Linked DNA regions of Rattus norvegicus. The protein of the gene in region 3 interacts with the protein of the main gene of each other region in a pairwise test. Links are inferred from orthologs where the notes say so. Each region holds a gene or a part of one and is shown on either strand. Other genes may lie near its edges. The genes, in order: Tubb5, Rbsn, Disc1, Stx18, Dmd, Tnks and Traf3ip1.

Region 1 (4,141 bases), on a different chromosome or scaffold from region 3:
GGCCCGGTACTGCTGGCTTCCACGGCTGGTGAGAGGGGCAAAGCCAGGCATAAAGAAGTGGAGACGCGGGAAGGGCACCATGTTGACAGCCAGCTTCCGAAGGTCGGCGTTCAGCTGGCCCGGGAAACGGAGGCAGGTGGTGACACCGCTCATGGTGGCAGAGACGAGATGGTTCAGGTCTCCGTAGGTTGGCGTGGTGAGCTTAAGGGTACGGAAGCAGATGTCGTAGAGGGCCTCGTTGTCAATGCAGTAGGTCTCATCTGTGTTCTCTACCAACTGGTGGACGGACAGGGTGGCGTTGTAGGGCTCAACCACGGTGTCAGACACTTTGGGTGAGGGCACCACGCTAAAGGTGTTCATGATGCGGTCGGGGTATTCTTCTCGAATCTTGCTGATGAGCAGGGTGCCCATGCCAGAGCCCGTGCCTCCACCCAGCGAATGGGTCAGCTGAAAGCCTTGCAGGCAGTCACAGCTCTCCGCCTCCTTCCGCACCACATCCAAGACAGAGTCAACCAGCTCAGCTCCCTCTGTGTAGTGACCCTTAGCCCAGTTGTTGCCTGCCCCAGACTGACCTGGAATGTAATAAGGGGGAAAAATTTAAAAAGCCTAATCACATATGAGAGAAACACAATACTTCTTAATCTTTCAACGTTTGAAATAATCCCACTGGGGGACACATGGGAATCCGTTCCACATAACTCACCAAAAACAAAGTTGTCCGGTCTGAAGATCTGGCCAAAAGGACCTGAGCGAACGGAGTCCATAGTCCCGGGTTCTAGATCCACTAAGATAGCTCGAGGGACATACTTGCCACCTACAAGTATTCAAGATGTTCGATCAGCGATGAAATAGCTCAAATTTGGGGTGGAGAAATCAGCCACATATCACTAAAGTTGTCATTCCAGGCACTACCACCTGGTGGCAGTAGAGCCAACCTTCAGCCCCATAAGGTGTGTGTGTAAGGGGGGAAAAATGGGAGTCTCACAGAGGGGTAACTGATACCCAAGTGTGGGAAAACAGGGTGGTGATGCTGCCTTTAAACCCAACACTTGGAAGGTAGACCGATCTATGTGAGTTCCAGGGCGGCCAGTGATGAATGGGGTCCCTGTCTCAATAGGGGGGCACGCAGAAGAATCGGGATTTCTTCCCTCACCTGTAGCTTCATTGTAGTACACAGAGATTCGGTCCAGCTGCAAGTCGCTGTCTCCGTGGTAGGTGCCGGTGGGGTCGATGCCGTGTTCATCGCTTATCACCTCCCAGAACTGCATAAGGAAGAGAGCAGTGAGGCCTCAATGGCTCAAGTCCTAAGGGATGCCGCCCGCCCCTCATTTCGATTCCAGACATGCTCAAACGAAGCTGTGGTGCAGACACTGCAATTCCGTTATCTGCTTGCGGAACCCTCTACCGAGGAGCCTACGCCCCGGAAGGTTACAACCTTAGTGGATAGGACGGATGACTGGCGATTCAAAGGGCCGGGGACTGTAAGCATCTACATGGGCGGATTGGCGCCCACCTTCTTGGCTCAGCACCTAGGTTTGGTTCCTGAAGCCAGGCACCGCCCTTCCTGGCCAGCACAAAAGAGGGTTGGGGGAGAAAGGTGCGGCCACTGCAGTCGCCCACCCCTTACGCGCTCCACGTGACTGCGGTGGCGGGCCGCTCCTCCAGCAAACCACAAAGGCGGGAGCAGTGCGGGCGGGGCCTAGCTCGAGGGGCGGGGCCAGTGCGCCCCCGCGGGCCCGGGCCGCATTGTCCCTGCGCGCCAGGGGCTCCAGCCCCGCCCCCAAGAGGGTCCCACCCTTCGGCTGCAATGTAGCGGCCGCACTTCCTCCCTCCCCCTCCCCCGCTACAGGGCAATTGCCCGCAAACGGGGGGAAAATTTTTAAAAACCCCATGGCCTCCGATCTTTATTCCCTTCCTTCTTTCTCTCTCCTTAATCTCCCCGACAGTCTCTCACATACTTGAAAAGCTCACACTTTCTGTCCGCTCACACCCTAAGACCTCTTTTAAGGGCAATGAAAAGTAAAAGTAGTGCCCTACATAGAATCATAATCTAAAAAAAGCCTTGGGAAGGCGGGTTCTATGGAGTATCCAAGCCTTTGTTGAGGTAATGCGCACCGGGGCATCTCTGCAGCTGCCCGCCAAACCTCGCCCCTTCCCCCTCCATTCTGTTCCAGTAGGGCCCTCCAGGCGGGGTGGGGGTGGCGCAAGGGGAAAACCTCGCCTCGGCTTTGTCTCGGATCGTTTCCGCATCCCTCCTGTCCTCGGACCGTTAGAAAACCCCTTTTAATACCAGTTCTTTAGAGTCCCCCAGCCTCTCCTTTTCCCCGAACTCAAAAGCGTCTCTTAATAGCTTTCCGAAGATGTGCCAAGAAAAACATTTTCTCAATATTAGAACGCTAGCTACAAATATGGGTTATATTTATACGTACAAAACTTTGAGGGGCCAAATCTGACGAGCGGAGAATGCAAACGCCCCGTTAGCATTGCTCACGATTAACACAGATATCTCATCCTTACATATTTCATCTAAAATTATAAAATTCTTACCTTAGCACCGATCTGGTTGCCACACTGTCCGGCCTGGATGTGCACGATTTCCCTCATGGCTACGGTTTACTGTAATAATCTTTTTTTGATGGTCCCAATGTAGGTACCGAGCAAAAGAAGATAATTAAGGATTTTTGGTTTTTTTCTTCTGGGCTGGTCTCAGACTGATAGGATGGAACGTAGCCCCGGAGGCTGCTGCAGAGAGATGCGAGCACGACCGCAGGAAGGTTCTAAGAGGCAGAAGAGGCCGGCGAGCGCAGGAGGGAAGGCGCGCAGGGCGGGGCGCGCGTTCGCGCGGCCGGGGGCGGGAGATGGGCGGGCGCCTCGGGTTGCAGACAAAGCCTACCCAACCAGTCGCTGATTAGACCAGCGGATCACGTGCCAGACGGCCATTGGTCTCTGAGCCAGTGGCGAGCGCAGTCCTTTTTGGGAGTTGTAGTTCTCTATTGTCCACGCTGCAAAAAGAAGTTAAAGATGGGTGGGTACTGTGGGAGGATTAGGGGGTATCGCGTGTGTGTGTGTGTGTGTGTGTGTGTGTGTGTGTGTGTGTGTGTGTGTGTGTGTGTGTGTGTGTGTGTGTGTGTGTGTGTGATTTTATTTTATTTTTCATGAAAAATGACCTCTCGATTCCTAGCCTCTATTCCTGAGAGAGGATTTTGTACGAAAAGAGGTTTGGGGAAATATAGTAATTAGATGAGATCTGAGGTGCCTGAGTTGGAAGGTGGGTTGGGCACGCCCTGCCAGCTGCCCACCGCAGAAGGTCTGGGAAGGCCAGACTGCACAGCTCAGCGGAAAATCCTGAGAACTGTGTGCTCCTTCCCTGATACACAGTGTCTAGTTCTTTGTGATCCCAAGACAGGAATGAAAGAATTGCCCTTCTGTTTCCATGGGAGGTGTCTCAGGGGTTTTCAAAAGAGAAACAAAATTGCAAGGATCATGGAGAATCTGCATGGAGCTGATGTCCCAAAAGAATGGAGGTGTGTGTAAAATCTCTGGGAGATTCGGGCCTTTAGACACTGAAGACATCCTGGTCATCTTGTCAGTATAGACTGGAGTGGACAGACTAAGAGAATGCTAGTCTTTATATAGTGCCTCCATCTCAGACACTTGCAAGGGCTTTTGTTTGTTTCTTTTTGTTTTGTTTTGTTTTGTTGGTTTTTTTGTTGTGTTTTGTTTTCCAGTTAGTTGATTTTATTCATTAGGTGAGTCTGTGGCAATGTCCTGGAACTGAGAGGGAAGATGGGAATTGAATGGGCCCAAGTCAGAGCTCGTAAGCTTTTCTTTCCAGGGTTTTGAAAAATACTAAGTATCCTCAAACCTTTAAGGAGATACAAAATGATTCATTAGAATAAGAGCAGGAGTGGTTCACACGGTTAATCCCAGAATCCTGACTAGAAGGCAAGAGAAGTTCAAGGTCAGCTTGGGCTACCTAGAGACTACCTGGACAACCTGAGGCACAGCTTTAGGTTTAATCTCTAAGTGAACAAATAGAAAGGAAAAATTAGATTGTGCCTGCCCTACCTCCCAAACAATAGAGAGGTGGAGGCAGAAAGATACTTGCACTTTGGAGGCTAACCTGATCGACAAAACAAGA
Region 2 (3,500 bases), on a different chromosome or scaffold from region 3:
TACATAAAGAGCATTCCTGGTCTGGGACTTAGTTGGTGGCAGAGTGCTTGCTGGGGCACCACAAAAGTGAAAAAGAGGACTATACCTACCAATGCCCCACAATCCAGATGCACATCAAGTGTATCTAGGGTCAGAGTGTAAGCCAATCGTGCAAACATACTCTAGCACTACAGGATAAGAAAGGCTACACTAGATGACCCCACAACACACACTAGCCCTAGCCACAACTCAATACACAGAGCTGTTATCAGATGACATTACACACTGTGCCCACTGAGTGACTCCCCGGGACAACTCCAGAAGATGTACCGCAGCAAGTGGGAGTGATAGGCATAAAAGGGGAGCTGGGCACTTAGTAAGTCTTTCAGCGTGATCAATTCACTTCAGGGAGACCAGCTAGGCCAGCTGTCTTCAATGTCCTCTGCAGTTCTCTCAGAGTCAGATACTCATCACTTACATAACACATATGTACTTACAAAATAAAACTACAAAACTTACCTTTTCCAACCTGATTATTAATTTATTGACTTCAATAACATAGTGGTCAATCCTTGCAGCACGATGTTTTTTAAAATCAGAAAGATGGCTTCTCATAGCACCTAAAGAGGAAGAGAAGTGGTAAGTTAACGATTCTGATAGAGCCTCTCTAGATCCTCAATGAATTTTAAAAGCATGTAAAAAACAAAACAAAACAGAAACAGAAAAAGCAGGATTTTAGAACCCTACCAAAATTTAATAACTAGAAAGAAGATGAAAGGAATTTCATTACGATGTTAACCCTAGCTCTTGGAGACCCAAAGTACAACATGAGAAACCTCAAAGCATAGCAGGTAAGCTCTTATTAGAGTTAGCCTGAGCTCAAATTTTAAATATGCTACACACTGTGTCACTTTAGATAAGTTGCTTGACTAGTTTTGTGACTTAACACAATGTAGCTTTTTATCAAAATAAAAACAATCCCTTTTCAAAAGCAGAGGGTAGGGGATGGGTGGTAGCGGTTCACATCTTTAGTCCCAGGGAGAGGGAGGCAGAGGCAGGCAGATCTGAGTTTGATGGCAGCCTGATCTACATAATGAATTCCAGAACAGCCAGGACTACACAGAAAAATTTTGAGAAACCAAAATAATTAATAATAGTGATAATAATAACAACAATAAGCCCTTCTCAAAATGGGGTGGGGGACCAGTAAGTGGTAATGTATGCCCTTAGTTCAGTTAAATGGATACTTTCCTCAGTTTAGCATCTAAGACCTAGCAGAAATGTTCCCAATACAAATGGAACCAAGTAGTATCTGACCTCAGTGTATCTGAAGCATCTGGGGATACAAAGCCAGATAGATATGGAATGGCTAAATGAAGGTAATTAAAACATACATTACCTCACTCATTTTTTTGTAGCAAGAACACTTCACTCCTACTCACCTGGCAACTTAAGTACAATATCTCTTCACTGTGGTTACCGTGCTGTACCATAGCTATACTGTACTTGTTTGAAGCCTCTTTGGACCATCTCCACACTGTACTCTTACTCATCCATGTCTGTCTTTCCTAATCATGCACTGGAATCTAAATTTTAGTCTAGAAATCCTAGGGATAATTATAAATAACTTCTAAAATTTCCAATTGATCATCCACCATTTGCACTTCTTTCCATTGTTTAATTGGGCAGGTTAATCAGAAAACCACACTAGCAATTAGGACTGTGGCAATTAGAAAATAAGCCATCACAAAGTATTAAAATTCACTTGTCAGAAATTTCTCCTTTATGCTTCTAATCAGCTTTCACATGTGATTTATAATTGCTGATATACATCTGCAGTAGAAGTAGACCTCTGAATCCTGGCCAGAGTAACTCCATTTTGCAGTAAGCCACTGTGCATCTGACTGCTGCAGAATAGGCCATCCTTCCTTGGCTAGACACTGCTTGCTGAGACCAGCAGAATCCCAATTGGAACAAGGACAGGTACACATAAGCATGGTACTTTATCAGTTCTGTCTGCGCCTTATGTCGCCTGAACCTACAGCCGCCACCACTTCACCCCTAGACAGTGCTCTGAATCCAGCTCTGCAGAAACTTGCTATAGACTAAAGACAGATAAAACAGAGCTGGGAACTGGAAAGAGGGTCCAGGAGTTGAGAACACACAGTGCTTTTGCAGGACCCCAGTTCAGCTCCCAGCACCTGTAACTTCTGATGCCTTCTTCTGGACCCCACAGGAAACGGCATACATATGTGCACACACTCGCACACACAATTTAAACACTAAATAATCTTTAAACATTAAAAGTAAAACAGTATCTTGGTGGACAGGGGGTTGGGGCTTTTTGGTGATGCAGCTTCAAGTCACCCATGTTCCTGTAAATAACCCCCAATAAACTCATTTATCTCACCAAACTGGACTGGAGGGAACTTTCTTTGCTCTGTCTGCACCCTCCTTATTTGAAGTGAACAGATATTTCTTTTATATGTCCCAGAAAATCATGTAACAATAGTATTTATAAAGCTATTTTCTACAGTGATAAAAATATTTTTGCATACTCACAGAGAAGCCACTGACCACAGAGGGATACTGCTCAACTGAAGTGTGTATAGATTTTGTTTGATTCATTAATGAAATTTCAATAGCTACATATGGCTACTGAACTGGATAGAACAGTTCTAAGATTAAATACCACCTTCCCCAGTGGTATTAATAAAGATGCAATCAGTGACCCTGGTCAGTGTGTGTGTGTGTGTGTGTGTGTGTGTGTGTGTGTGTGTGTGTGTGTGTGTGTCTATGTGTCTGTGTGTGTGCATGCCATGTGTGTGCTCAGTTAGAGTAAGCTATCTCACAAGGGTTCTGAATACAAAAGTAAAGAACTCTGAAAGAAGCATTACTTATCCATTCTGTGGATAGAAAGTACTTTATTGGGCTAGGTATGTACTCCAGTATCAGAGTACATACTCAGCATGGATGAGGCACACAGATGCTCAATAAGTATTGAATGAACTAATAAATGAATTAATAAATTTTCTTACCAGGCTGCTGACTGAGATTCAATCCCAGCAAACAAAATTAGTGATTTTTACCATTCCACAGCTAAGTAATAAGTAAGATGAGACACTTTAGTTCAGCACATGACGTATTTTGGTTGACAGCTTTACTGACAGGTAATCTCCTAAACATATAATTTTAAGGCCAAGTAATCCTGCCAGGCATGATGGTGCATGGTTTTAACCCCAGCATTTGAAGAGGCATCGTCAGGCAGATCTCTGAGTTCAAGTCTGGTCTACAAAGAGAGTTCTTAGACAATCAGGACTACATAATAAGTTCCAGTCTCAACTTAAAAAAAAAAAAGTGCCATTCTAAGTATATTAATTCAATGGTTTGAGTTTTGTGGGGGGATGGGGGGAAAGTTGTTTAGTATGTTCACAAAATTGAATAACCGAAAGAAATGTCAGACCATTTTTATCAGTTTGAAAGTAGAGAAGAAGCTAGGCATAGTGGTATGCACTTTAATC
Region 3 (3,500 bases):
AGGTCCGGACAGAGGTCAGGGAGAAAGATGAAAACTGTCTATGAAGAGCTTCCGAACTCACCCATGTCGTAATCGCCATCCTCGACCGCTTTTTCTTGAAGTTTCTGAAGCTTTAAAATCAAGGAAGTGACCTGTGTTGGTGTGAAGGGGAAACATAAAACAGAAATTACAAACTAATTCAAGCAAGTTCATTTTGTGAAACCTACGAGCGTCTAAGAACTATTTTCAAAGGTGGGCTGTCCGGATGGGATGGCTCGAGGGTGAAGGCTCATGCAGACAAGTCCGAGAGCTTGGGCTTGGTCCCCAGAACCCACAAAACCCCCACAAGGTGTTCTCTGACCTCTACACAAGAACCACAATGCACACATACACACAGACAAATAAAAAAAATAAAATTAAAAAAAAGTTAAGTTCCTGAGAAGCAATACTGTTTTTATATAGGGAAACTAATTTAAAAGTGAAGTTCTATTTAAACTATTTTTCAAACACACACACACACACACACACACACACACGCACGCACAAGCAAGCAAGCAATGTGTGCCAATGCCAAATGCGTGTTTAAGGAAGAAAAGAAAAGTCATTTGCACAAAGAAACACAACTTAAGCATGAACTCCCCAGAAAGACTTAGAACATTACAGATTCCACAGTGTTGCCATTACAGCATGAAGCACTTTGTGGGGAGAGGGAACACAGACTGCAGGCCGAATGGCCTCTGCTCTAACCCTCAGAACATCACAGTGAGGGTGAGTGAACGTGGGAAGTAAGAGCCAAGAGGAGCCAGGCACAGACCACAGTCTCCAGAGTGGCCAGCTCAGGAAGGACCGTGGCCCCGCTTGAAGCCTCCATCTCAGGGAAGCTGCTGTCTTGGGCTGGACATGTAGCTCAGAGATGTGTGCCTAGCATGCACACAGTCCTAGTTCTATTCCAGCACAGGAGTGGGGAAGATGAGAACAAGGGAGTGGGGAGCCACTGGTAGCCACACCTTCCTTGCCAGAACAACTTCCTAACGGGCTGTGACCAGGTCTTGCTTCTAAACACTGAAACCAGATGCTGAGGAGATGAATGGTCAGTAAAGCGCCTGCTTGGCAAGTGTAAGGACCTGAACTTGACACTAGAGCTCACACAGAAAACGGCATAGTGACTCATGCCTGTAATCTCACCTCACAGGAGGAGGGGACAGGAGAGTCCCTGAGACCCACTGGCCTAACAGTGCACTCCAGCACCATGGCAGAAGTGAAGACGACACCCAAGGTTGTCCTCAGCCCCCCAAAAAACACACACAACACACACACTCACACACAAGCCACATATACACTCACAAACCACACACTCACCACATATTCATACCCACCCGATCATACCACACACATACATATACACATACATATCGCATACACCATACACCACACACCACACACACACACACACATATACCATACACCACATACACACACCACACACACACACACATATACCATACACCACAGACACACCACACACACACACACACACACACACACACACACACACACCACATACACATACACATATGTGCACACACATACAGTCTCCTAGTAGGAGGACCACATAGCCCATGGGACAATGAAGCAAAGTAGGAGGGGATGGGGCCTGTGCAATCAGACTTCTCCCCTCCTAACGTCTCACTCTTTCCAAACCCGAGCTGGCTGTTCCCCCCTTACTCTCCCAGTGTCTTACTTTATTACATTTGTTTACTGTGAAGGGAGGGGAGATATCTGTTTACAGAAGTCGGCTCCCCGCTTCCACCCTCTGGGTTCTGGAGAATCAAACTCAGGTAGTCAGGCTTGGCAGCAAGTGCCTTTACCCATCGAGCCATCTTGCCAGTCCCCAGTGTCCTAACCTGAACAAACCACACTGCAGGTCAAAGGTTGTGGCGAAGCATGGGCCCCATCAGAGAGGGCATGCCCGCACCTAAGCTACACAGCCTGAAAGCGGAGAACAGAGCATGCGCGTTCAGATGTGGAGGCTACAGATGTGCTACCACATCTTTTCAGTCAGCCGTCCCAGAATCCACTGCAGCTTCCGGGACCAGCACTCCATCAGCTGCCCATTCCCCGCTTCCACCCAACACTGAGCTGGGGGTGACAGATTTCTGAAGGACACACACCTCCAGCTGCCTGCGGTTGCTCAGTAGGTAGTCCTGCAGCATAGGCTCCCATTCCCTGAGCAGAGCGTGCCATCCATGGGCATCCGCCCAGCCTCCGTCCTGGTCGCTCCGCCCTCCAGCGGGGGATGCATCCTGGGAAGAGAAGCCAGCATCGGAGGAGGAGACCATGCCACATTCTGGTTGCCTGTTGCTCCTCGTCCCCTGAGCCAAGTCCACCAAGCCCGGAGCAGCGTGAAGACTGAAGGTCCAGAGATGCCGAGGCTCCCCGTGGGGCCTGTCTGAGCCGGATCCTTCAGCTGCCATCTCTTGGGGGCTCTGATGCAGGGGTTCGGCCTCTCTGGATGGCAGGCAACCTTCTGCTTCTCCGCGTTCTCCAGCAGCACCGAGGGAGAGTCGGATGAAGCTGAAGTTGGAAGTAAAGGTGTCTTGGAACCCAGGAAGGGATGGGATGTCAACGGGGCCATTCGACGCCGGTGATACCAGAGGCCTCACAGTCTTCAGGCCCCTCGATCCCTTGCTCCAAGCTACATCAAGGCTAGAAGCCAGAGACTTAGAGCTGTCTGAAGATAAAAATTCTTGCCGACAACCACTGTCCCCAGTCAGCCTCTCGGATTGTCTTCTGTCATTCCCGGAATGAACCCCAGAGTGCACCATCCTTTCTCTCATAGAGCCCTGGGCTGGGTGCAGGTGGCCCACAGAGGTCACAGCAGGGCCAAGGGAGCCCTTGAGAAAAGGGTTGCCCACCAATGAGTCTTGGCAGTGGCTTCTGAGGTCAAGGCTGCACTGTCTAGCCTTGGACTGTGAGGGGTAGAACTCCTGGCCTGTCAGCCCCGCTGAGATCGGACGTGGCATGCCCACTGCTGGAGACAGGAACCCGATCCCAGGACTGGCTGTGCTTCTCATGTAGCCTGGTCTCCGTGTCAGCCGCCGCCTCTGAGGGGCTACTGCAGGCGGCGAGCCATGCCCATTGCCTGAGAAGAGAAGAGAAAACAGTGTATGTTATTGAATCTGTAGGAGCTGCCCACGGAGGACATGCTGGACATCTGTGAGTACACCTATCAAAGGCACAGCACGAAAACTCATGATCCCAAGCCAGGCAAGGTGGGACACTCCCATAACACGAGTCCTTGGAACATGAAGGCAGAAAGATCAGAAGACCCAGGTCATCCTCACCAGCTTAGGGAGTTCAAGCTAACCTGAGCTACACAATACCCTGTCTTTAAAAATCAAAAGAAAGTCAGTGCTGCTCTGCGGATGCCCAGTCAGACCAGCCCTCTGCTGGCAGAGCAGCAGGCCCCACTGTACGTCTGACAGCATGTCAGTGCAGGTCCTGGGGACACAGCCTTGGTG
Region 4 (4,300 bases), on a different chromosome or scaffold from region 3:
AAGTCTGGCTTAATGGAAAACAGCTGCCCTGCATTTAGCCTATTGTTAGATCAGTGTCTCTGGGAAACCCAGCCACACAGCTGATCAGAACACACAGATGTAAAGGCCAATATGAGCCTGGAATTATTACAAAACTCGCTTTTCATCTCCATGACAGCTAAAAACCCAATTTTAGCACACATCATAGTGTGCTTCCTTTTATAAGGAAAACAAAATCCAGAAAAGTTGATACTGAAATAAGACTAAACCATGGGGGTCACACTCCTGGACAAGAAAACTCCAGGCAACTATGGCTGCTGAGAGAGGAAGAGTTAGCCTATCCCTCTAATTGGTTGTCCAATACGAAATGATAATCCCTGAAATCATACACACATAAACAGTTTCAGCAGATTGTGCTTGCATAGCCATGGATACTTACATATATATGCAACAATTACAATTAAGGAAGAAGAGGCTATAAATTTGAGACTGAGTTGGGAGACATGGAAGAAATCAGAGGGAGAGGATTGGAGGCTGGAGAGAGAAAAGGGAAGGAGAGAAAGTGGCATAATTGTATTTTTAATTAAAGGTGTACACAAAATAAAATAAACCATGAACAAAGCGTCCAGAAAAATTTTATTAGCTGACTTTAGTCAAGTTAAGTAACTCTCTTCTTTTCAATTTCCTCCTTTCTCTATAATAACTATGACTCAAGAGAGCGCTTTTCAAAACTACTTATTTAGGAGGAACATAACACAGTTATCATCAAGCTCAGTATGCTTCACTTTTCTCTGGCTCTCATAACTTCCTGCTCTCCATATCCCCCCGCTCAGGGATCTCTGCTCTAAGCCTCTTCTACACCATAAGTAAAAAAGACTGAGGACAATAATATTATCATCAACTGCAGCATTTACGGGCTGCGTAGTAAGAGTTAAACAACATGAGAATGCGCATTCTGTTTAATTTTCTGTGCATTCTAGGAAGGTGCTAGCTTCACTTTACCGAACTGGCTGAAGGTTTAAGAAGAGAGCCCTCTGGACTCTACCTCTATACACTTACCCTTTCCTAGTACAAGCACCCAGACGGTCATAGTTCATTGCTTCTTAAGTGGATCCCTAGACGACATAGGTCAAAGGTGTTAACACTCCCCACCTGTCAACCAAACCTCACGCCTGTCTTCTAAAGAATCATACGTGAGCGATCTTTCTAGTTTCCTGATGCTTCCGTTCCTGAAGCCCAGTTTTAGAAACCCTGTGAAACTTCCAAGCGTCTGACCCCGCTGAAGTTTGCAGTGAGGAGAAAGAGGTGCTGATGCACTGCGGGTAGCTGTCTGGAACGGAGATTCCCTGCGCTGGGCCGAGGCCGGAACCTTTCTCTACTCGACGCAGTACACGGGCTGAGAGCGGAACCTTCCTTTTCTGCTCACAGTTCCCAGGCGGAAGCGAAATCGGAACGTCCCTCAGCGACCGAGCTCTTGCTGGGGTCGCTTGCTGCTGACGTGTGCCGACCGGCTTCGGGCCGCGGCGCGGGTCGCTATGGCGGTGGACATCACACTGCTCTTCAGGGCTAGCGTCAAGACAGTGAAGACGCGGAATAAGGCTCTTGGAGTGGCCGTGGGTGGTGGAGCCGATGGCAGCCGAGACGAGCTGTTCCGCAGAAGCCCTCGGCCCAAGGGAGACTTCTCCAGCCGGGCCCGTGAAGTGGTAAGCTGGTTGCTATGGGAACGACTGGTGGGAGTCAGGGGCGGATCTGCAACCGCGGACCCTGCACCCCTAACTGGGCCCTGCCTCGTTAGCTCTTGGTGAAGTGAGGGAGTCTCTAGCAAGACAGAAGAGTCGGTCTCACGAAGCCAACAGCTGGCTCGGGGTGGCGACAGGTTTATTCTCACGAAGAGGGACGCATATCTGGGCACTGAAGGAAGCAAGTTTTGAAGAGGCTCTTGGATGTCCTTGAACTCAGGCTAACTTTTAGAGGCAGTGAGTTCGCCGTGGCTGCTGATTTGAGTGCCTTGGAAGAGTTCCCACAGTCTTACGCTTCCTGTATTAAAACTCACCACTCTCTCCGCTTGCCCTTTCATGTGTGTGTTTGGACCTCCTCTTGTGCATAGGGTTTAATAAAAATCTACGCTCAGCAGAACTCTCCTTTGTCCTTGCCTCCAGGAATAGGTAGAACTCAGTACCTCCAGAAACTGGTTTAGGATATCACCAGTGTAGGGTAAAAGCTTTTTCCTTCAGAACTGCAACACTTAAGCAACACCTAGTGTTGTAACTGTCCTCTAAACTGCTTTCTGTTCTCTGGACACAACCGGCTTTTGTGTCCCCCAACATAGGAACCTTCTCCATAAGGGTAGGAACATGTTGACATTATTTCTATATGTGTGACTGAAAACATTGCTTAGTAAATATTCCTTGGATGGATGGATGGATGGATGGATGGATGGATAAACAAATGAATAGATATTGTTTCCACTAAACAGGGAAAAGGAGATTGTTTGCAAAAGGAGATTGTTTGCAAAAGGAGATTGTTTGCATTATATCCCTTTGTATCTTTGACACTAAGGGTAAATGTTATTTTTGTTGCACCAGGAGGCATATACAGTCTGTTCTTTTAAAGACACACACACACACACACACACACACACACACACACACACACACACAGAGTGGTCCAAAGCATTGAAAGGTACAAGTCAAGGGAACCTAAACTTTAAGTATAATTAGTTTTCCAGTAAGCTCACCTCTGCTTGGCACATAATCCATTGCTTGATACTTCTCTTTTTGAGACAGGGTCTTTCCATGTAGACCAGGCTAGCCTTGAACTCACAGAAAGGTGACTGTTTCTGTCTCCCAAGTGCTGAGATTAAAGGCATGGGCCCCATACCAGATGACACTTGAATATTGTTTTATATATATATATATATATGCACAAGTTAATGAATGACTGTTTAATACTCAAGGTATGGAAGGTATGGACCAGATAAATGATGCCCCTCCCTCCAACAATAAGCATCTACTTAGAACTGAACTTGTGACCATCATTGTTTTAGAGTAACAGGATTCTATTCTTGAGTTACAAAGTTTCAGTGCTAGAGAGATACAAATATAAACAAACCCCCTGCCTTGATTCCTGCGGGTATTCTGTAGGGCACAAGGGAAACAGTAGTTAGTTCCGCTTGGGAGAAAGGCTTCATGGGACAATGATATCAAATATCCATTCTAAAATAAGAGTAGTTGGTTTCATTACAGATAAGGTCAGGAAGGGCATCACAACTAAGTTAACAACAGCATACTGGCCATACTCCTGGATGCCCTCACACCCAGGAATACAGGGACAGTGCAATTAGGCTTGATGGGCTTTTAAAGAAAAAAGTCTGGGGGGGGGCATGAAGTTAGGGGAGGTAAAGAGGTGGGAGTGGATTTGAGAGGAGTTAGAGGGGAATGGTGGTAAATATCAGAACACATACGGAATTCCCAATGAATTAAGAAAATACTTTTTTTTTTTTTAAAAAAAGAAACCAACGTGCACAAAGGCATGAGATAGTACCAGCTTAACTTAAGTTGGGTTTGATTAACGTAAGAATGTGAGACACTCAGAAAAAAAGAGTGGTATGGTACCCAGAGGGAAATCTAGAAGGACCTTGTAGATCACTCTTCAGAATTTGAACTTTGCCTTCTAGACCAGTGGTTCTCAATTTTCCAAATACTGTGACCCTTTAATACAGGTCCTCATGTTGTAGTGACCATGCCCCCAACGATCATAAGATTATTTTCATTGAGACTGCATAGATATAATTTTGCTACTACTATGAATTATAATGTAAATATCTAATATTCAGGATATTTAAATGTGACCCCTGTGACAGGATCATTCAACCCCACAAAAGGGGTCACAACACACAGGCTAAGAACCACTGCTCTAGACAGTCCAATATTATGTAGACAGTAAAACCCTGAAGAAGACCCAGGAGACCACATTGTTGTCTTAACCATGTTAGCTATTAGCCAGATTCATGCTATTAAGCAAGGTTTATTTACCTATAAAATGGTTCATCTTTATCCAAAACAGACTTTAAACATCCATTGGGTCTATCATATATGTCATATATAAAATGTCTTATCATACCATGTATTATGTTGAAAGAGGCATGACTCAGGTTGAAGTAAGAGGACAGGAAAATAAGGTGTCATCATAGCTCTCTTCTGAGTCTGGCCAAACTGTTACCACAGTGTGTGGACGTCACAGTTTTGGTGTGTGGAGGCTCTTCCCTGGGTGGTTTATTAATGCTGCACAGATTTTCAGTCCTTAGGAATAGGGGATTTCG
Region 5 (3,500 bases), on a different chromosome or scaffold from region 3:
ATTAAAACACCTGGGAGTTTGTACAACCCTTAATTTAGTGTTTTTAGAGCAGGCAAACTAAATGCATACTAAGTTTGATCTTTGACACTAGTAGATAGAAAAAATGAGTATTTAATAAAGGCTGTATGAATCAACGAGAAACTATTTTGATGGTGCAGAAAATAATATTGCTATTAAAGTAAGAATGACTTGCAATATGGCAGAAAAGTAATTTGTGCAACCCTTTATGGTTTTAGCACATATAGAGAGAGGTCAGACATGATACCCAAATTATAGATCTCTACAATGACATTGATTTCTAAAATGAGGAGGAATAGAAAGGAATGAATGTCGTAAGATAGAAAATAATGATGGATGATCAAAAGATGGAAGCAACACAGGTAGAAAAAAATAAAGATATTAGGCTTTATAAGAAAGTCTTTGGTATTTTGCAGTTGAAACATAATTGTCATAACAGGTACAGTTTGAAAACTACTTCTCATATTTTATTTGCTACCTTAAGAATATCTTCCTTTTGTTGTGGTTTCCGTTTTTCAGATTCATCTAAAAGTTCATCTGTGTGAATGATCCACTTGGTGATATGCTCTACATTCTGATCAAAGGATTCCATGTGTTTCTGGTATTCCTGAATTGTATGGAAATATATCTGGTTAGACAAAATTCCTAAAGCATTTTTCCACTGTCTACAAAGAAAACAATGAAATATTTAAATTACCTTTAAGTAACATCAGAAATAGAAAGTAATACTAAGTATTGAAAAATATCTTGGAATTATGAGACTCTATATCAGCATATATAGAGAGCAGTTGAATTTTCAAACACAAGTATCATTCCTAATTTATTATTTTCTTGTTTTTGTTTTGTTAGCTTGCTGAGAAGGAAGAGTGAAAAAGAAATGTTGTGTTTTAAAAGAAAATGGTCCCCACAGCCCCCACTATTGTAAGACATGGCTTTACTAGAGTAGGTTAGGCCATGTAGAAAATCTCATTGGGGGATGGGCTTTGAGGTCTCATTTGCCCAGGCTTTGCCCAATATGGAACACAATCTCCCATTCTACTGCCTGGATATCATGAAGTAGAACTCTCAGCACTCTGTCTGGCTGTATATTCCCATGTTTTCCACCATGATAATAATGAACTAAGTCACTAAAACTTTAAGTCAGCCATAATTAAATGTTTTCCTTTAAAAGAGTTGCTATAGTCATGGTGTCTCTTCACAACAATAAAACCTCAGCTAAGACAAAAAGCTTCCTGCCTCTACTCTTACCAACAAAAGATTTAGCCATTCTTCTACTCTGGAGGTGACAGCTATCCAGTTACTATTCAGAAGCGTCAGTTTATCTTCCACCAAAGTTTCTTTCTTGCCCAATACTGTTTTCAAGGAATCTCCTAGTTCCGTGACACTCTTCAAGTGAGCCTTCTGTTTCTCAATCTCTTTCTGAGTAGCCTGTAGGAAAAAATAGCATTAAGATTCAAGTAATGCACTTTATGTAGAATTGGGAAATTTTGTTATACAAATGTGATAGATATTTTAATCATAATTATATATGTTTAATAACTAAACCTAGAGATTTTTCAATTAATATTACATGTTTATTAATTTGATCATGTATTTGTTAAAGGCAGACAATTTAAGACTCATCTATAAAGCAATACCTGTAATTTGAAAATTAAACCACTACGCCTCGGTTATTTTTCTATAGCAACATATTTAGCCTTTTGGAGATATGAATATTTTTGACACCTCGTTAAACTGAATGAACTCCTCACATAATGATTTCTAAAGTATAAAATAAATGTACAAAAAAACTGACACGAAGAAGAAAAGTCATTTTAAAATGAAGTCTATGTCCCAATAACTGCAAGCAAAGTCAAAAAAGACAAAATCATAGATGAAGAACCGCACATCTTGGCAAGTTTCAAGTAGATTCAAATAAAACTTGTACAAGTACAGTCACAGAAGTATTCATGGATAGAAGATAAGAGTATATCTCTATCAGACAGTAGATTTCTTACTCCTAGATGTTATCAACAAATAAACACTTTCATCTATGGATTCTATATTTGTTCTTTTATTATCATTTTATTTTAAAATACAGATCCTGTAGTAACTCATGCCAAATGAATTTATTTACTATGAGCAAAATGATTATTTATAATGAAGGTTTTAATTTGTGGTACAAGAATGAGACAAGGATTGCTTAAAATCAATTTGTTCAGATATTATTCATGACTGTTTATTGCATTCCTCTATGGCACCAGATACTATTGTAAAATTGCCACAGATAACACTATTAACTCGTTTTTGGAATAAGAAAAGTACCAAGTTTGGGTAGACACAGCTTATTTAGAAATAAATAGATAAAAATTAAATTTAAACCCTCTAAACATCCTGTAAATTCTAGGGTAAAATAGATTCTCTATAAATATAGATGGTAATCATTGTTATAGGTACAAAAATAAAACAGTATTGCCTTTATACTCAAGACACTTAGTTTTCTCCCTCAAGCTGTAATTTATAAGCTCCTTTTTAATTTTAAAGTGAGGAAAACATAAGATTATATTCATTATATTCACTATGTTATATCTACATTTGTAGACATAAGGATAGCAAAATTGGGGCTGCATATGTTTCATTAAGTGATATTGTGGTATAGGAAAACATTTACCATGAGAAGAATTCTACTGAAATCATAATTGCAGCAAATGTTAACATTTTATGGGTAAAATATATGATCAGTTAGGTTCAAAAATACTAACCAATAAACTTGATGGTTTTCAGTAAATAAATGTACTATTTCCTAGTCACAAATATATTTTAAAGTTACTCTGATTTGTTAATCATGAAGGAATGGGTAAAACAGATGAATCTTTTCTTATGAAAATTTGCATTATAATCATCGAAATTGGGAAAATTCATTGAGATCAACTCTTCACAGGTAATAGTAAAAGTTAATTTAAGGCAAACTAAAGGTTATTTAATGGTGAGTTACACATGTAAGGTAAATTGTAGAGAAATTTTAATCCAGCAACCAGGGTGCTCTGGCAAAGAAAAACAACTAAAAACTTTCTAAGGCTATATTTTCTGGATGGAATGACATAGCCTCTGTTACATTATGATCTAGATGGAATAGAGACATAACCTTAGTACACGCCTTTAATTTCAAACAATGAAGTGAAGTTTAATTTGTAAAGAGATGCAGCCATCTTTAAAAGTGATATTTAATTGAGGGACAGACAAAGTAACAAATCAGAGAAATCTGTGACAGGATGAATCAGAAATAGGTTATGCCCTACTCTCACAAGCACAGACTAGAAAGAGAGGCAATTGAGACAGGAGTGCCACATGTTCTACTATGTTCATAGCAGCCTTATTTATAATAGCCAGAAAATGGAAAGAACCCAGATGCCCTTCAACAGAGGAATGGATACACAAAATGTGGTACATCTACACAATGAAATATTACTCAGCTATCAAAAACAATTACTTTATGAAATTCG
Region 6 (4,205 bases), on a different chromosome or scaffold from region 3:
CTTGATTTGGAAAGTAAACGGTCTCAGATGATTTATTAAATCAGACTCAGACCTTTCATTTAGCCTAAAGAAAAGGAAATTGTGTAGTGGCGCATGGCTGAAATCCCAGGGCTTGGGAGGCTGAGGCAGAACCTTGAGCCTGGCCAGACTTCTCTCAAGAAACAGAGAAAATGAGAACTAGGAAAGAAAGAAAAGCCAGACAAGAAAAAGAAATCCTATTTCATATAAAACAAGCAAGAGTCTTGACTTTTCATCTACGTAGCTGAAAGCCTACTTATAAGCGAATTCATCACACTCACTAGTTCTGCCTAATATGGAGCACAGACCCAGTAATCTGACCATTCCCAATGGGTTTCACACCACTGATCACTGTCCATTAATGGATCACAGACGCAATTTGCTACAAGTGAAGTGGAAAAGTATACAAACACACAAGCAAGGAAGGGTGCAGTTTCCATTTCCTCAAAGTTCTGATTGCACTGCAACATTACAAACTCTAAGCAATGGCTGAAATTAAAAAAAAAACAAAAACAAAAACAAATAAAAATCACTAGCTTTCCTTCTCCATGAGCTCCAGACTACTACCTTCTTCCCCAAACACCAAGTAACTTAGGAGCTGTGCCCTGCATACAAACCCACCTATAGATTATGGCTTAGGCTCTAAATCAAACTGCTGACTCAACGTCAATGTCTCACTACTTTACTTGAGAACTAGACTCACGTGTGCCTCGCTTTATCATCTGTAAAACGAGAATCGCAGTTCTCCTAAGTTCTAAGCTTACGTTTACAGAACTGAAGGAGTAACACCACTGAAATGCACAGCAAGAGGAGCTGGAGGTGTATGTAGCCCAGGGGTAAAGTGCTTTCCCAGCAAAAACAGAGTTCTGGTGCTCAGACAGCATCTCAAGACAGAAAGGGCGCTGCAGAGATGCTCTGAAGTTAATTAAACAGAGCTTACTCTTCCAGAGTAGCTGAGCACCCAAGCTGGGTGACCCACAACTACCTGTAACTCCAGCTCCAGGGAATTGCCCTCTTGTACCTACACAGACACACACAGACACAGACACACACACACACACACACACTCAAGAAAACTAACATTTAAAAGAGGAATTTTTGATACTTTTTTAAAAAGTGTGTCTTTTAATTTTGTATCTTTCTATCCTATTTGAATTTATAATATATGTGAAGTACAAACTTCAAAGGTACTTGTTTTAAAGTACATAACCTAATTAACCTTATTTAAAAAAAAAATCAACCAGAAGTATCAAGGCAGTGAGAGTATGGCCCTTCTGTTTTTGTTCTACATTTCTGTATTTTATAAAAAATATTCTGTGTTTCTAAAAGAAAACAACTACTTACTCAGAAGGGAGAGAGGCAAGAAAAGTAAAGTTCAGCATTTAGAAATCTGTGCCTATGTGCTGAGTTTCCCCGCCAGAAGACTTCTTCCTAAATCCTCACTCAAACAACCTATCATCTTTGTCTCTAAGAAAATGAGCTAGCTGAGACAAGGTAAATACACACTGGACCTCAAAGCTGATCTCTCTGTCCCTTATCATAGGCACACACTACCCTTATCACTATTGTCTCCGACTGGCCGGGGGTAGTCTCTCCAGATTGTCCACTTCTTTAGAAAAGGTGGAATTTGACAAACCCCATTGTCTTTCGTTGTGTTACTTAAGAATACGAGAGATTCTTGGACACTTGTTGAGTTACCCTACACTTCTTTCGCCCCGGACTGTCCGTACTCAAAGGACAAAACCGTGTCGTAAAAAACAAAACGAACTAGCACACGAACGACAAAGCTATTCCTAAAGCTACTCAAATCCAACTTGTCTCAGACACAACTCCGAACTGAAAAGGTTTTAAGTATGCCCACATCCACAGATGAGCGCTACACGGAGTTTGCATAAGTTGAAGTACCACTGTTGCAAACGCCAAGGAGTGAATTCACACCTCGCCCCCCTCCAACCCCCCCCACCACACACACGGACACTAAACTTCAGTTCTCAGGGTGAGGTGGAAAAGAACCACCAACAAGTCCCTACTTGTCCCACTACAACCTGTAACTTTTTTTTCCTAGTCCGACCACCCTCCCTCCGCTCCAAAACCCGTAAAACACGGTCTCAGACCTGCTGCGAAGTGCAGGGGAGAAGACTTTCGGCCGGCCATGTCCTTTGCATTCACGTTCGCTGCGTCCACCAACCTCTTCACCCGGGACACGTCCCCATTTCGACAAGCCTCCAGCAGCTCCCGCAGGGCCCCACTCACGGCTGGGACCCCCGGGCCAAGGCCCGCCGCCCCGGGTCCCAAAGTTGCTGTGGAGCCAACTCCGGCGGCTTCGGGACTCTCCGCTATGCTCGAGCCAGGGGAGGACGGAGAGGAAGACGAAGAAGAAGTAGGCGAAGAAGTGGACGACGCGGAGTTGTTACCGCCGCCGCCGGCTGGGCTGGGAGCGACCCCGACGGCGGCGGAAGCTGCCGGGGCCGCGGCCGTAGCAGCCACCGTGCAGACCGCGCCGTCCACCGGGTCCGGAGATCGCGGCCTGTCGGGCGGGTCCCGGCTGCCATCCCCCTCCGGCAGCGCCAGGCCGTGCCGCGGGGAGGCGAAGGGCGCCAGGCCGCCGGCCGTGGGAGAGGCCGGGGTAGGTCCCGGGGCCAAGCCCGGGCTGAGCGGCGGGGGAGGTGGCGGTGGCGGAGCCGAAGCCCCTGGGGCGGGCTGGAGCTGTTGCTGATGATGGTGGTGATGATGCTGAGAGCGACGCGACGCCGCCATCTTCCCACTCCCCCGTACTGTCACTGCGGCAACGGCGCCACCGCCCGCCCTCACTTCCGGATTCTGGACCAATCAGAAGTCAACATACCCGGAAATGATTCTTGCCGAAGTGGGTGGAGTCGGAGAGAAGAAGGGAAGTATTGGAAGCTTAGAGAACAACCAGCCTGGGGGCGTGGCTTAGTAGTTGAGAGACTGGCTTTGTGACGCCCTGGCGGGCTGGCAAGGCAGATTTGAAAGTTTTGGCGAGCCACTACCTGTCCGAGAAACTTCTGTCTTCCTTCCAAAGCGGGATTGCTTTGGACTGCTTCAGTCTTTTCCCAGGTGTCCGTCAGTCTGCGGTGTCTTACTTCAGAAGAAGCTATTAGAATGTAACTTGGTGCAAACATTTAGCAAAATGTCCTCGCCCGAAAATGGAATTAATAGTACCCACCTCACAAAATTGTCTGCAGAGATGAAGTGAGCTAATGCATACAAAACGCTCTGAAGAATACATAACTAAAATTAGCACATTGGGAATATTTTTAAATGAAGTGTTGGATCTGTACACCTTACTATCTCCTTTGGTCTCATTCAGAGACAGGACTGGAGGGAAGGATAACCTTATTCTCTAAGAGGGTATTTAACTCTTGCCACAAATGCCAAGGAGCGGAGACAGGATGCCTTTTTGCGCTGCTCTATCCAGTGCGCCTGTAATCTTAGAGGACGGGATTAACAGTTCAGAGACCTGCTTTACCTGTTATCTCCCAGCCAGCAAAGTGGAACAAAGAAGTCAGTCATCCCAGACTTTGGTCCTGTCTCTCAGGTCAGGTGGTCTTAATACTGGAGAAAGGAATACACACACACACACACACACACACACACACACACACACACACACGCTATCAAATAGCTCGGTGTTGGGGTCTAAGAGTCGGATTATTGAATGCACACCCTAATACTGGTCAGACCAGGGACATAGCTCAGAATCATCTGAACTACAACATCTTTTTATGTCAGCTTATAAAAGAAAAAACCACAATGAGCTCATACGCAGGTGCAGGAAGTTCTGCCTGGTGATCAGCTCTAACTTAAGCCATTTTTTTTGACATAACAGTTTATATTGACCTTTAATTTGATGAGCCCTACGTAAAGCTTTGAGGAATGTCTTAAGATTAACAAACCTCAGGACATAACAGAACATAACAGGGTCTGAAAAAAATAGCTCTGAGTGAAGCTATTTTTCTGTGTCAAAGGCTGGTAGGCATGTTACAGCAACAATATGAAATAGCTGGCAGGCATGGAACAAAATGTCTACAGCTATGCTGGGGAGAAGGGGCGGGTATTGTCGGACCACAGAGGCTTGCTTTGCTTGTTCAGAGTTAAATCTAACTTGGGGTGCCTTGAGAGGCATGCGAGTCTAAGTGGCATTGGGAGTATGCATACCTAGCTAG
Region 7 (3,500 bases), on a different chromosome or scaffold from region 3:
CGTTCCCGGTCTTTTCCCTTGTCACGGTCTCGGTCCTTCTGCCTCTCTTTTTCTTTCCCACCGTCACTCCTCCTGTCCCTATCTCTGTCCCTTTCAGTCTCTCTGTCCCGATCTTTGTTGTTTCTGTCCCTGTCCTGCTTGGCCCGTGCTCTGGCTTTCTCTCGCTCTCCGTCTCTGTTTCTGTCCCTGTCGGGTTCTCTGTGTCGGTCTCTGTCAGCCTCCTTTGCCTTCTCCTTGTCTCTCTCCTTCTCCCGAGGCTTGCTGTCTTCCTTTAGTTCCTCCTTCTGTTTGTGCTCTGCACTTGAGCTTCTCTCCTTCACCTCAGAGCTTCGTTTCTCCTGAAGAAAAGCATATGGACATGACAGTCATTTTTAATATTTGACTTTAGTTTACAGACTTGCTGTGTCAAAGACATGCGGCGTCCTACAGCTCACCTCTTTCTGTGTTCTGGACTCTTCCTCCTTCACACTCTTGTTGTCGGGCTCTTGTGCTTTCGACGTCCTCAGGACTCGACCTCTCGAGTCCCCCTTCTCCCCAGCTAAGACTCTCTTCACAGCCTCATCACTGGAGAGCTGGTTGGCCAGGCAAGGAAGATGATGTTAGTGAGTACAGGCACTGAGAATGGAGCACTAAAGGACAGCTCATTAAATAGATTTCTTCCTACCATGAAGGACATTTGGAGATAAACTAGTAAGCAAAAATGTTAGTGACAAAGCACAATGCTTGAGATCCATTACTAAGATCCTGTCTCCTCTCTATCCAAATGTCAGTGTGGACATGTGTGTGGCTCTAGTAACCCACATTGCACTACATAGGTCATCAAACAGAATCCCAGGTCTAATGAGCACACATCACTTAGGACAGCTATTACAAAAGAAATGCTAAAATTGCAGGTATAATAGGGAGCAGTGGAGCCTGGGAACCACTGGGGATGCAGAGTGTGCCGTGCTCCAGAAAACAGTGTGGTGCTCCTCCCAATATCACACACACAATAATCAGCATGACCACAGCACTCCTGGGTTTACCCCAAAAGAACTAAAAGCTGGTCTAAAGGGACAGTGGCACTCGGGCTCTGAGTGGCATGATTTATGACAGCCAGAATGTGGAAGCAACACAGATGTCCCTTAACAGACGAACAGAAAAACAATGTGGTCTACAGACACAGCAAAGTATTGCTAACCAAGTGGGGAGAAAATTGACCCATGGCACACTGTGAATGAACTCTGAGGACACCATGTTAGTGACATACTGCCTCATACATGGACTGTCAGTCAGACTTACAGCAGCAGAGAGGGAAAGGTTGTTACTAGGGTGGGAAGAGGGGGAGGTAATGAGTACAGAGAGTGAGTCTTGCAAATGAAGGGTAGATCACAGTGATGGCCACACATCACTAACGTATTCAAACTACAAAACTTGTGCCAACTGAGATAACTGTTACCTGGATCTCCACAACAGAAAACTACCTCAAGCCCCAGCAAGAGCAGATTCTGGCTCCGGCATCCCTCACAGCCACCCAGGGGACAGAGCAGCTCTCAGCACTGGCCTTCCTGCTCACACCCCTGCTTCACAGGCTTCACATGCAGGAACTAGGGAAGCATTCCACACCAGCTCTGCCAGTCCAGGACAAGCTGCCTACCAGGAAGGCAGGCACCCACCTACCTTGCTGAGGCAGCACTTGCCAATCAACTGAAGCAGCTCATTGGTTCTTTCAGGTTCGTGCCCGGCCACAATTCTAGCTGGTTTTGCTGCCAAGGGTTCTCCTGACACCATCATGACCACATCTATGGCCTTCTGTAAGAAGCTAATCTTTGCATCTTTATCCTGAAATATTTCCATGGAAAAGACAAACATTAAAGTAAATACTTGCAGCTGGATAAATGGCTCTGACTGTAATTAACATTGTACAGTGCTCGTACAGAGGACGTGAGTTTCAGTTCCCAACACCACATCGGGTGGCTCATAAGCACCTGTACCTCCAGCTCTAGAGGCCCTGACGTCCTATTCTGGACTCCACAAACCGCACTCACACAGTAACATACACACGGACACACACACACACAGTTTAGTTTTGCTTTGTTCTTAAAAAGGAAGCCAAGAACTCAGGAGGGAGACAGTGTAGGGAACACCAGAAGAGCTGGAGGGAGGCAGTGGTGAACAGATATGATCAAATACACTGCATAAATGTGTGAGATTTTCAAAAAACAAGATGTTTTAAAATAAAATTTTGATTTTAAATACTTTGAGGAGTTCATATATTCAATATAGTCAATAGGCTCAGTATATTCAATGTTCACCCAGAATGGTGCCTTTTTATATGAAAAACTATTTCTAGATGTATGACAAATTCAGAATTTCTGACTTTTCATAACTGTCATAGTTTGCATATGCTTGACCCAGGGAGTGGCACTATTAGAAGGTGTGGCCTTGTTGAGGGAAGTGTGTCACTGTGGGGGTGGGCTTGGAGACCCTCCTCCTAGTTGTCTAAGAATGCCAATCTGGGGGCTGGGGATTTAGCTCAGTGGTAGAGCGCTTACCTAGGAAGCGCAAGGCCCTGGGTTCGGTCCCCAGCTCCGAAAAAAAGAACCAAAAAAAAAAAAAAAAAAAAAAAAGAATGCCAATCTGTTTCTAGTTTCCTTCAGATGAAGATGTAGAACTCTCAGCTCCTCCTGCACCATGCCTGCCTGGATGCTGCCATGTTCCCACTTTGATGATAATGGACTGAACCTCTGAACCTGTAAGCCAGACCCAATTAAATGTTGTCCTTTATAAGACTTGCCTTGGTCATGGTGTCTGTTCACAGCAGTAAAACCCTAACTAAGACAATAACCTTTATGAACTTTCATTGTTTACAACCAAATCTACTCATCCAATCTTTCAATGGAACAAATGGGATAGCATTAACTATAAACAATCTGGCTCAGGCTTTTGCTTCTGAGACATGGTCTGTGTGGCCTAGGCTGGCTTCAAACTCATGACTCTCATGGCTCCCGAGAGCTAGTGCATCACCATTCCTGGCCACTGATCCTGATGTACTTTTGCTTTTTGAGTAGGGTCTTGCAGACTTGACTGGCTAGGCACTCACTGAACTTGCAGCAGTACCCCTGCCTTAGTCATTGAGTGCTGGGCTTATAGCTATGCATCTCCACATCTGGTTGTAATATTGCTTTTTTTCACATTTCTTTATGTTCTGTATGTATATGTGTATAGATGGATATGCATGCATATACATGTGGCTGTAAAGGTGGGATTATTGCACACACTCACACGCGCACACATACATGTGCCTGTTCATGTGAAGGTCAGAGATTCACCTCAGGACACCATCTATTCAGTGTTTTGAGACAACGTCTCTGGGCCCTAAAGCTCACCCATTTCCCTAGGCTACCTGGTCAACGAGTACCTCTCCAGCTCTGGGATCACCAGTATACACGTCAGCCAGCTTTTCACATGGGTGCTGGGGGATACCACCCAGGTCTGCACGTCTGCATGGCAAGCACTTT

The links.
Region 1: the proteins of Disc1 (region 3) and Tubb5 interact in a two-hybrid assay, tested with the Homo sapiens proteins (2 studies listed by BioGRID and IntAct). The link is inferred for Rattus norvegicus from reciprocal best matches to the Homo sapiens genes DISC1 and TUBB.
Region 2: the proteins of Disc1 (region 3) and Rbsn interact in a two-hybrid assay, tested with the Homo sapiens proteins (2 studies listed by BioGRID and IntAct). The link is inferred for Rattus norvegicus from reciprocal best matches to the Homo sapiens genes DISC1 and RBSN.
Region 4: the proteins of Disc1 (region 3) and Stx18 interact in a two-hybrid assay, tested with the Homo sapiens proteins (2 studies listed by BioGRID and IntAct). The link is inferred for Rattus norvegicus from reciprocal best matches to the Homo sapiens genes DISC1 and STX18.
Region 5: the proteins of Disc1 (region 3) and Dmd interact in a two-hybrid assay, tested with the Homo sapiens proteins (2 studies listed by BioGRID and IntAct). The link is inferred for Rattus norvegicus from reciprocal best matches to the Homo sapiens genes DISC1 and DMD.
Region 6: the proteins of Disc1 (region 3) and Tnks interact in binary tests that used the Homo sapiens proteins (3 or more experiments, as listed by UniProt). The link is inferred for Rattus norvegicus from reciprocal best matches to the Homo sapiens genes DISC1 and TNKS.
Region 7: the proteins of Disc1 (region 3) and Traf3ip1 interact in binary tests that used the Homo sapiens proteins (3 or more experiments, as listed by UniProt). The link is inferred for Rattus norvegicus from reciprocal best matches to the Homo sapiens genes DISC1 and TRAF3IP1.

Annotation. Positions count from the first base shown.
Region 1 is NC_086038.1:2,916,236-2,920,376, reverse strand, and holds the start of Tubb5 (tubulin beta-5 chain), read right to left. Parts: upstream 2,801-4,141; 5' UTR 2,605-2,800; coding exon 2,548-2,604; intron 1,263-2,547; coding exon 1,154-1,262; intron 815-1,153; coding exon 704-814; intron 573-703; coding exon 1-572. UniProt on the Homo sapiens protein: Tubulin is the major constituent of microtubules, a cylinder consisting of laterally associated linear protofilaments composed of alpha- and beta-tubulin heterodimers.
Region 2 is NC_086022.1:126,256,203-126,259,702, forward strand, and holds part of Rbsn (rabenosyn-5), read right to left. Parts: intron 600-3,500; coding exon 499-599; intron 1-498. UniProt on the Homo sapiens protein: Rab4/Rab5 effector protein acting in early endocytic membrane fusion and membrane trafficking of recycling endosomes. Required for endosome fusion either homotypically or with clathrin coated vesicles.
Region 3 is NC_086037.1:69,946,476-69,949,975, reverse strand, and holds part of Disc1 (disrupted in schizophrenia 1 homolog), read right to left. Parts: intron 3,122-3,500; coding exon 2,151-3,121; intron 132-2,150; coding exon 62-131; intron 1-61. UniProt on the Homo sapiens protein: Involved in the regulation of multiple aspects of embryonic and adult neurogenesis. Required for neural progenitor proliferation in the ventrical/subventrical zone during embryonic brain development and in the adult dentate gyrus of the hippocampus.
Region 4 is NC_086032.1:76,970,927-76,975,226, reverse strand, and holds the start of Stx18 (syntaxin-18), read left to right. Parts: upstream 1-1,500; 5' UTR 1,501-1,514; coding exon 1,515-1,682; intron 1,683-4,300. UniProt on the Homo sapiens protein: Syntaxin that may be involved in targeting and fusion of Golgi-derived retrograde transport vesicles with the ER.
Region 5 is NC_086039.1:52,112,086-52,115,585, reverse strand, and holds part of Dmd (dystrophin), read right to left. Parts: intron 1,447-3,500; coding exon 1,267-1,446; intron 626-1,266; coding exon 497-625; intron 1-496. UniProt on the Homo sapiens protein: Anchors the extracellular matrix to the cytoskeleton via F-actin. Ligand for dystroglycan.
Region 6 is NC_086034.1:63,926,924-63,931,128, reverse strand, and holds the start of Tnks (poly [ADP-ribose] polymerase tankyrase-1), read right to left. Parts: upstream 2,801-4,205; 5' UTR 2,776-2,800; coding exon 2,133-2,775; intron 1-2,132.
Region 7 is NC_086027.1:99,524,176-99,527,675, reverse strand, and holds part of Traf3ip1 (TRAF3-interacting protein 1), read right to left. Parts: intron 1,822-3,500; coding exon 1,660-1,821; intron 573-1,659; coding exon 435-572; intron 339-434; coding exon 1-338.